Linked DNA regions of Arabidopsis thaliana. The protein of the gene in region 1 purifies or fractionates together with the protein of each later gene. This does not show direct contact. Each region holds a gene or a part of one and is shown on either strand. Other genes may lie near its edges. The genes, in order: CPN60A and PAF1.

Region 1 (5,663 bases):
AACCCTAGGAATATCTTTCAACTCCTCGATGATCACCTCTTGATCTTCAAGATCGAAGGGCAGAGAGATTGTTGCGGTCTTTAAACGCTTAGAGTTGGCTAAAATGTATGTCAAGAATTTTTCCCCTTCTACTCTATCTCTATATCCTTTCCACTCGAATATCTCTAGCTGCGATGACAAGCATCCGGGAACAAGACTCGGTTGATTCCATCAAAATGGAAGATCCTCGGTTTTGTAGATATATCTCTGAGAAGCAATAAGGGGTATATATTAAGCAAAATTTTGACTAGTATTTTAGTCCATCAAAGCTAGAACAAGAAGAGGAGGAAGAGAAGGATACATACATAATCATCTACCAAAAATTCTTTTAGTTTTGGAGCAGTTCCAAGTCAAAGTACGAGTGGTTCCAACGAGTCTGATCTCCCTGTATATATACTTAACTTTACAAGAATATATGGATTGTGATGTCCTGTGAAAGTATTGAAGATAACTGAATATGAAGGAACAATTGAAGAGCTAGAGGAAATGAGACATTTCATAGAGAAACTGTCATGTCTTGTGCTTGTCAAAGTTCGTGCCTGTGCAATAAACGACAAGGAGAAGTATCGAATCACCGGAGATCTGCTAATGGTTCGTAGATCATCGAAGTGCAATATCCAGATCAAGTTTTATGAGAAAACTAGTAAAGGCATGAAAAAACATTGTTCCCTCCTAGTTTAATAGTATAGTAAGTTGGAACATTATTCAGTTTGTACGCATATTTGCTTATTGTTCTGCTAAACTACTCTCGCTACATATAAAATGTTTGGTCGCATACATAACCATTTTCTGCAATTTCCATTGGACAAAAAAGATGATAATTATTTCTCGATACTGTTAACAAACTACTCATATTCCCCCAAAAAAGAAAAACATTGCAGATAAATGGGGATGACAAATGTGCAAAAAGACAAAGATGCCATTGTGATGATAAGATGTTGTGTTTTGATTACACCATGAGACCCTCAGGAGCAGCAGCAGCAGGAGCCTTGGGTTTCGGTTTGTCAACAACAATGGCCTGAGTGGTCAGTACCATTCCTGCTACGGAAGCAGCGTTCTGTAGCGCACATCTTGTCACTTTAGCCGGATCAATCACTCCAGCTTCGAACAGATTCTCATATGTATCAGTCATTGCGTTGTACCCATTCTCCCAATCGCTGAACATAATCTTTTCCACAACAACTTCTCCTTCAACTCCAGCGTTCTGAGCAATAAGAGCAGCTGGTGACAGCAATGCCTGAACTCAAAACATAAACCCTTATAAGATAACTAGTCACAATTGGTTACAGAACAAATACTGAACCGAAAAACTAAATGCTACCTTTTGTACTATGTCAGCTCCCAAACGTTCATCAGCATCCTCAAAAGTCTCCTTAATGGCGGGAATAACAGTGGAGAGATGCACCAAAGCAGCACCACCACCTGGAACTATGCCTTCCTCGATAGCAGCAAATGTTGCGTTCTTTGCATCCTCGATACGAAGCTTACGGTCCTCAAGCTCAGTTTCAGTTGCTGCTCCGACTTTAATGACAGCAACACCTCCAGATAGCTTCGCAATTCTCTCAGCGAGCTTCTCTGAGTCATACACAGAATCAGTCTCGAATAGTTCTTTCTTCAGCTGAGCAATCCGAGCTTGTAATTCGTCCTTGGAAGCTGCATCTGCAATGAGGGTAGTCGAATCTTTGCTAATCGTGACTTTTCGGGCAATACCCAATTGATCTATGGTTGCGTTTTCAACCAGTAAGCTCATGTCCATGGCTAGGTACTCAGCTCCTGAAAAACATACAAAATGATAAAAAGTTTAGACCATAACAGAGAGAAAGTAAAAGTACTAAACGCACGCGAAATCTGCATATACCTGTCAAGATTGCAATATCTTGAAGCATGGCTTTTCTTCTTTCTCCAAATCCTGGCGCTTTAACGGCAACAACATTGAGGACACCACGAAGCTTGTTCACGACAAGGGTAGCTAAGGCTTCACCAGTAACATCCTCTGCAATAATCAACAACGGAGCACGAAGCTGAGTGGTCTTCTCCAAAATAGGGATGATGTCTTTGATCGCAGTGATCTTCTGATCAGTGATCAATACCCTAGCATTCTCAAACTCAGCTAGTAGTTTCTCAGGGTTTGTAACAAACTGAGGCGAGATGTAACCTCTGTCAATCTGTAAATAATCAAGTTAGTCATTGGCAATGAATGGTGAATAAAATTACAGTTGAAGAGAAGCAAGACAAAAAAACTCATACCTCCATCCCTTCTTCAACTTCGACCGTGGTCTCAAAAGAAGATGAAGATTCAATGGACAAAACACCATCAGGTCCAACTTTGTCGATGGCATCAGCAATCATTGACCCTATAAGGTCATCATTTCCAGCAGAGATAGAAGCCACAGCTGGAAAAAAAAAAAAGAACAGATTGATCAGTAAAAGAAATCAAACATTGCTGCATCACAAGGAAGGTCACTGCAAAGTTAGTACCTCTGATGTCATCACGACCTTTCACGGGCCTAGCTTTCTTCTGAAGCTCTTCGATCAGACCTTGAACAGTCTTATCAATTCCCCTCTTGAGTGAAACGGGATTCGCACCAGAAGTGACGCTCAACAATCCATGTTTGATTATCTCCCGAGCAAGGATAGACGCAGTGGTTGTCCCATCACCAGCAGAGTCATTAGTCTTACTCGCAACCTACCACATAACAACACCAGATTACCGCACCGTATAAATAGCATTAACAGAGACAATAACAAAGCTACACCAACCTCACGAATAAGCGCTGCACCAGCATTTTCCATGGCATTAGGTAACTCAATAGCTCTAGCAATGGTGACTCCATCATTCACAACCTTAGGACTTCCAAATTCATCCAACACAACATTCCTCCCTTAAGAATAACAAATGAAAACACCAAGATAAGTCGAAAGATAAATAACACAGATGAAGATGGAAAGAGTAAAGGAGCTACTAATATTAACAAATACCTCTAGGGCCAAGAGTGAGACCAACACAATCAGCAAGCTTATCAATACCAGCTTGTAGAGCAGCTCTAGAGTGCTGGTCAAAAGCTATTTCCTTTACATTAGCTCTAACACTAAAACGTCTGATTGTCCTCTTGTTGTAGCTAACTCTCTGACCTTGCTGCTGATTTCCTCCTCCCAACTTACTCTGTATACCCACAACATCAATAAAGCAGATTCATTAACATTAATCTCAATCAGTTTCTTCTAATTCCCATAAAAATTAACCTTTTCTCACCAACCCAGAAACCAAATAGAGAAAAGCAATTGAATTGAAACAGAACAAACTAAAGGGTCAAATTCAATCACTTTCTTCAAAAACCCAATAAACCAGATAGAGAAAGGTTTTTGAAAATAGATAACACTGAAGGGTCAAATCCAATCAAAACAAAGTAATGAAAGATGATTCATTTTCTTCTTTAGTAAGTAGCTAAGGAAGGTAAAAAGGAACAAACTTTGTACCTGACGGGAAGAACAGAGGACGGAGGCGGAAGAGAGAGCGTTTGCAGACGCCATTTTGAGAGAAAAGGAGGGAGCTTTTTGAGGAACGTTCTGGATTGGTGTGGATAAGGAAGTGGTTAGTGTAAACGAATAGTGTGGGAGGAGGGGTTAGGGTTTATTAGATAAATGGAGAGAGTAGCTGAGAGAAAAAGGATCCAGAAGATTCTTTGCATTCGTAACGAGAGAACCGTTGATCTTAATAAGCCTTTTTCACCTACTTCTATGGGCCTGTTTGTCTCACTGTTTATGGCCCAATAATAGAAACAGTACTCAAGAAACTTTTATAGTTTGTGTATTCCAAATTCGTTTTTATCCATTCTCTTACTGAATGTACTCACTCTGTTTTAAAATATAAGAGGTTTAAGGTAAATGGATACATATTAGGTCATTTTGTATATAAAAAATAGTATTTAGATTTTGTTAAAAAAAATGATAATGAAAACTGCAAAATATAAATAGTCACAAATAGTCAAATTAAATTTAAATTTAAACTTGTAAAACATCTTATAATCTGAAACAAAATAAAATCCCTAAAACATCCAATATAATGAAACAAAGGGAGTAATATTTAGACCAAACTAATAAGTACAATTTAAGACTTGTGAAAACCATGAGATTATAAAATACATGTTAAGTGGATGAAAACACCTAGCTTAGAGTAGATTTACCCGCTAAGTAAAACAGAAACTCTCATAAAGACAACAGTTACTACTTTTCTAAACAGAGAATAGACTCCAAATCACCTAATTGCTACATGATTAATTGATTTAGTTAAGCCAATACAATTTGTTTCTAAATCTTTTTTCATATAAGTATTGCTTGTTGTACGCATCATATACCATGCATTAAATTAGTTTCCCATGAATAAATTCACTAGTTACGGAAAAGAAAAGTTGGGAAGTGAGATAATAAATCTGACAAAAGTGGCAGTTTCAACTCTGAAGCGTCAATCACATAAATAGTTGCAGTTTGGCGTTGGGTTTGATTTGATTGAGTGAATTGACCAAATAAACACACTTAATTAATAACAAAAGGGAAGTTACGTAACACAAAAATTATAAATAGGGACGTCTACATGTATTATTCCTCAAAAGATGCAGCTTACCATAAGATGACGTCCATATCTTTAATGGAAACCGTGCCGTAAAATTGACTGCCAAAATGTACAATGTAGAAAACATGAGTAAACTAACAGTTGTCCTGATGTACAAAAAAACACACTAACAGTTGTCCGATGAAAAGAAAGAGACATGTAATTTAAAGCATTACGACAAAAAGAGTAAATAAATAACACTGTTGTTAACTTGTTTTAGTAATCTATTGTAATTATTTTCTTGAGTGGTTGTGATTGAAACGAAACAATTTAGTGGACTACTAAGCAAAAATAGTTAGGATATATAGAGCATGCAACAAAAGACATGCAAAAACATAATTTGGTTTGATGTTTTGCATATGTGTTTATAGTTTTCTAAAACTTAAAGTGCCTCATATAAACAAATAATTAAGTTAAAAGTGTATTAAAATTCTGAAATTTAACCACATTCCTATGTTCTATATGAAAAAACAATTATTAACCATTAAACTACCATAAAATAACTAATACTTTATAGACTTATGATTTTATTTTATTTTATTAAAGAATTTAGTTAAAATTAATTTTAGGGCCGTTAATTTTATTGTTTTTTAGATATTCCGTAGTTTATTGCATGTTTCAATTTGTATAAAAATGTGTTTCATTTGGATATTGATACATGTGTATCAGTTTAAAGAAGAAAATAATTTTCGTGGAAAAAAACCGACAAAATAGATTTTTAAGAGAGTAAGTACAGTACCGTGTAATAGAAAGACTGATAAAACCCACCTTAATACGTCAAGAAAAAAACCATTACAGATTTTACGGCTTTACGCAATCATTATTCTCTCTCAGTCTCTCTCAGTCTCTCTCTCTATCTCCCACGGTCGGTTTACATACATATCTAAACTCACCACCGGAGCTCCGACGATTTTTCCGGCCACCTTCCGATCGGTATGTGTTGTGTTCCCTTTTTTCTTCTGAGATCTATCTGTCTTTATCACTTCCACTTACCTTATTCATTTTGTTTCTCCTC
Region 2 (4,645 bases), on another chromosome or scaffold:
ATTGTGAACAAAGAACAATATATATAGATTAATTGAATGCATACATTTATATTTACAAAAATATCATTAATTATAAAAAAAAAATAGAAATAAATCAGTTAGTAATTAACTAATTAATGCTTGAATTTGTGTTTACCAAAAAAAGAGAGCAAAAAGATCAGTTAGTAATTAATTAGATGCTTTTTTTGTCATTAGATGCTTGAATCAGGAAAACTTACAAAATTGAAAACAAATCTAGAAAGTAATTATAAGTGAAAACATATAAAAACGTTATAAATCATAGTATATGCTAACTTTAACTAATCTATATAATAAATAAATTAAAATTTTGAAAACAAATCATCAAATATCAAATAAAGAATAATTCTTGGGTTCACTTCTAGGGGGTGAACCTAATTTATTCACCCCCTCTTTAATAACAAATCAATATTTGCCATGTTATTTGATTAAAAAAACTTAAAACAATTAATATTATCAAAATAAAATAATTAAAATAAATCATTAAAACCCCACTTTTTTGTAAATCCAAACCGATATATAATCTCGTTTAATTACCAAATCTAAGCCCTAATTCTCCTTTATAAACCCAAACCGCCATTTAGACTTATTTAATCGTTAAAAAACAAACCATAATCGTATTTTCTAAACCCAAACCGACATTTAACCTAGTTTAATTGTAAAATCTAAATATGTTTATAAGCCCAAACTAATATTTAACATCGTATAATCATAAAATCTAAACCCTAATCGTATTTTGTAAACCCAAACCGATATTTAACCTCGTTTAATCATAAAATCTAAACTCTCATTTTTTCTAATAAACTCAAACCGATACATAATTTTCTTTTAGTGGCAAATTAGATTTAATAGTTAAATTAATTTTTTATTATTATTACTAGTTTGTTAGTTGGGTTTAAAAGTTTCATCAAAGGAGATTTCATAATTGAATAAGGTAAGTGACGATTTTAAAATAGCTTGTTTTTAGAAGTTTTTCGTTCTAGGTTTGTTCTTATTGCATGTAGCTAGTTAGCGTCATGAACTAGTAACTGATCTTAGGGAGATAAAACCACAAAAGTGCTGAATTTATTTACTTGATCTAACATACATAGACTAGAAACTACGTTATAACAATACAAAAGCTTAGTTGTAGAGCTTTGTTTGTGGAGGTAAAGGAACTTGATCTCATTGGGTGATTGATTTTGTGGCTACAACAAAAATCTGAGTAGTTAAGTTTTTATCGATGCTACAAAATTCAATCCCCTAGTCATCTGTGATTCCAGTTTAAGGAACTTGAGCTAAACTGAATATGCTTTTGTTAATCTTCTTGTATGAGACAATATGAACTTTCGCGATATTCTTAAAGACTCAACGATTAATTATCATACAGTTGATAATAATAGTCGAAAATAACAATCGTTACCAATCCACTTCTATATTATGTATAAAATGATTAAAACTATATTATAAAACAAATAATAATTCAAATTTAAATAAATATTTAAAAATCAAAATTCTATTAGTGTTGTACAAGCACATGTTATGATCTACTTCATCACTATATTCGTCAAAACTAAAAATGTATGACTTTTCAGCTGTCATAAAAGTTTAGAAATATACAATAAATTAATTTTAAGATATCAATTTTAAAAATGATAAATGTTCTAAAATTTTAAATAGGATCAATCACAGAGACTTTTTTTTTGTAACAATTCAAATTATATGATTACTAATAACAAAATCGCAAAGTTTTATATTTATAAAATTAATTCATTTTTATTTAGTTTCAAATAATATACAAGAATATTCAAGCTAGTGTGCTCTGTTTTGTCTAATGTTTTTTTTTTTACTGAGAACTATTGACCAAACTCTTTTGTACATATTTAAAGATTCTTAAACAATTTCACATTTCATCAAAAAAAAAAAAAAGAATATACAAGGATTATCCTGTATAAAAACATAGGCCTAAAGTCTGTATAAAACATATGCCTAAAGTCTTAGCCCAATAAGCTAGATACCGAGCCAATACAAAGCCCAGAATTTAATAGAAGCCCATTAAATCGAGAGAGAGATCGAGAGCATCCATGGCTTGAAGGAAAAGAAAAGTTTTGTTTCTGAACTTTCGTCTCTATAAACCCTTTCGACGACGAGTGAAGAAGAAAGCGAGACGAAGAAGCAAAGATGTTCAGAAACCAATACGACACAGATGTTACGACATGGAGTCCAACAGGTCGTTTATTCCAAGTGGAATACGCCATGGAAGCAGTGAAGCAAGGATCTGCAGCAATTGGACTCAGATCTCGTTCTCATGTCGTTCTCGCTTGTGTTAACAAAGCTCAATCGGAGCTTTCTTCGCATCAGAGGAAGATCTTTAAAGTCGATGACCATATCGGTGTTGCAATCGCTGGTCTCACAGCCGACGGTCGTGTATTGTCTCGGTATATGAGATCGGAATCGATTAATCACTCTTTTACTTATGAGTCTCCTCTTCCTGTTGGTCGTCTCGTTGTTCATCTTGCTGATAAAGCTCAGGTTAGGCTTTTGTAGTTTGTTGATTGAGATTTGGTGGAATTTGGAATCGATTACGCTTGGTTTTGTGTGATTCGGTGATAAGTGTGTTGTAATTGTTAATTGAAATTTGAGGAATTTGGAATTCGATTACACTGTGAATCACTGAGCTCAAATTTAGCCATTAGCTTCTTGACTTTGTGCTTAGGGTTTGATCTGAGCTGATTAGGATTCTAAATTGCATTAAATAAGAGTTTTCTTAATTTATCATAGCAGAAACTTGAATCTTGTTTAGTGAAATTGTTTGCATGTTTGTTGTTACTGCTGCATAATCTTGTATTTAAAAGTTTAACCATAACTAAGAGCTTAACAATAGGATTCTAAAAGAAAGAGATTTGTGTTTCTTCTGGTGCTTTTGCTTGTTTCTGCAGTTTTTATTTGGAGTTATTGATTTTCAGTACCTCTAAGAAGTGAATTCCGCTCTTTGTTTTGCATCGTTCTCACCACTATGCACTTATCTTACCAGTCAATTACTCCTGCTAGGTGCTTGTTCGACATCTTTTCTGTAATTATGTGCTACTTCTCACTTTGTTTTTCCACCTATCTAATGGTTTCTTAAGTTAGCTGTTTTATCCACATCTGCATAAATACTTTTCAAAGCCATTGGGAAGAGCTCCCATATATTATATGTGTTTATAAAAGGAAGGGTCTTGTATTTCCTCATTGTCAAACTTTATTAGTTGGTTTACTCTTTTGTAGGAGAGATTTTACTTGACAGGTCCAACTTAAGTTACATTATTGTCATATTTCTTGTCTTTACCAAGGGTTTTTTTTGTTATATTTCTTGATCTGGAAAAGGAAATATTTATGTGTATGTTTGCCTTTATGAACAGGTCTGTACCCAACGATCATGGAAACGACCCTATGGTGTTGGTTTGCTGGTAGGTGGATTGGATGAGTCTGGAGCCCACCTTTACTACAACTGTCCCAGCGGAAACTACTTCGAGTACCAAGCTTTTGCTATTGGATCCCGTTCCCAAGCAGCAAAGACCTATCTGGAACGCAGGTTTGAGAGCTTTGGGGATTCTTCTAGAGAAGATCTGATCAAAGATGCTATTTTGGCTGTTAGGGAGACATTGCAAGGGGAAACACTGAAGAGTTCTCTCTGCACAGTCGCTATTCTAGGAGTCGATGAACCGTTCCACTTCCTGGACCAGGAAGCAATACAGAAAGTGATCGACACATTTGAGAAAGTGCCAGAGGAAGAGGAAGGAGAAGGCGAGGCTGGTGAGGGTGAGGCCGAAGCTGCCGAGGCTGCACCAGCAGAACGAGGTGGTGGTGTTGCAGGTGACCAAGACGTGGCTCCAATGGAAATGTAAGGCTTGTGTGTGTAACGCTGGAACTATTTTATTTCGATGTTAGTTGGATTTTTACTTTGCAAAATGGCTGCGGGTTTAGATTATATGCTTGAGAAGTTGAAACCATTTCGTCATTTAAACTCAATAGCTGCCATCAAGACTTTCTCGTATTCTGGTCTTTTGGTTTAAATCTGAAATCTGTTCACGACTTCCTATCTCTTTGGTTCTGCAATTCCTTGCTAAAAAAGTGTGTAGTGTCATCTAACTAGGGCTGTCAAGCAGGCCAAGCCAGCCTTGTTAGGCCTGCCCTGCAGAGGGTTTTAACAAAAAAATTGACCAGCCTCAAGTTTCCTTCGAAGGTTAATCTAAAATTTGTTAACCCAAAGAACTCCAGAATTTAATGTTAAATCGTAAATTATGATAAAATCATTAGCTCGACGTCATTTAGTCTAATAGAAAACATAAGTGGCCCCCTACATGGTGACGACTACGAAAGACTTTGGATAATGGGAACCATGTAAACCAGACCCATTGACTTTGCCGTCTCTCTTAATCATTTGCTTTATCCAGCATCCGTTCTCGTATATACACCAAATTAACCATCAAAGGAAAAAAAAATGATCAAGAGTTTATCATTGCATCTAAGAGCTAGTGGATCATATAAAATTGAATTAACAACGAACAGTCATGTTTTCGGTGTCAAAAGACATTGTGAATTAAACATACGAAACTACGTCAAATCGTTTAAGGCAATTGGAAAACACAAGATCTTTTACGGGTTC

What was found.
Region 2: the proteins of CPN60A (region 1) and PAF1 fractionate together in Arabidopsis thaliana (co-fractionation; one large-scale study listed by BioGRID). This does not show direct contact.

What each region holds. Positions count from the first base shown.
Region 1 is NC_003071.7:11,924,510-11,930,172, reverse strand, and holds CPN60A (chaperonin-60alpha), read right to left. Parts: upstream 3,728-5,663; 5' UTR 3,571-3,727; coding exon 3,517-3,570; intron 3,203-3,516; coding exon 3,019-3,202; intron 2,922-3,018; coding exon 2,800-2,921; intron 2,726-2,799; coding exon 2,518-2,725; intron 2,433-2,517; coding exon 2,287-2,432; intron 2,205-2,286; coding exon 1,898-2,204; intron 1,813-1,897; coding exon 1,361-1,812; intron 1,277-1,360; coding exon 989-1,276; 3' UTR 685-988; downstream 1-684. UniProt on the Arabidopsis thaliana protein: Binds RuBisCO small and large subunits and is implicated in the assembly of the enzyme oligomer. Involved in protein assisted folding. Required for proper chloroplast development.
Region 2 is NC_003076.8:17,158,509-17,163,153, reverse strand, and holds PAF1 (proteasome alpha subunit F1), read left to right. Parts: upstream 1-1,997; 5' UTR 1,998-2,178; coding exon 2,179-2,529; intron 2,530-3,398; coding exon 3,399-3,884; 3' UTR 3,885-4,110; downstream 4,111-4,645.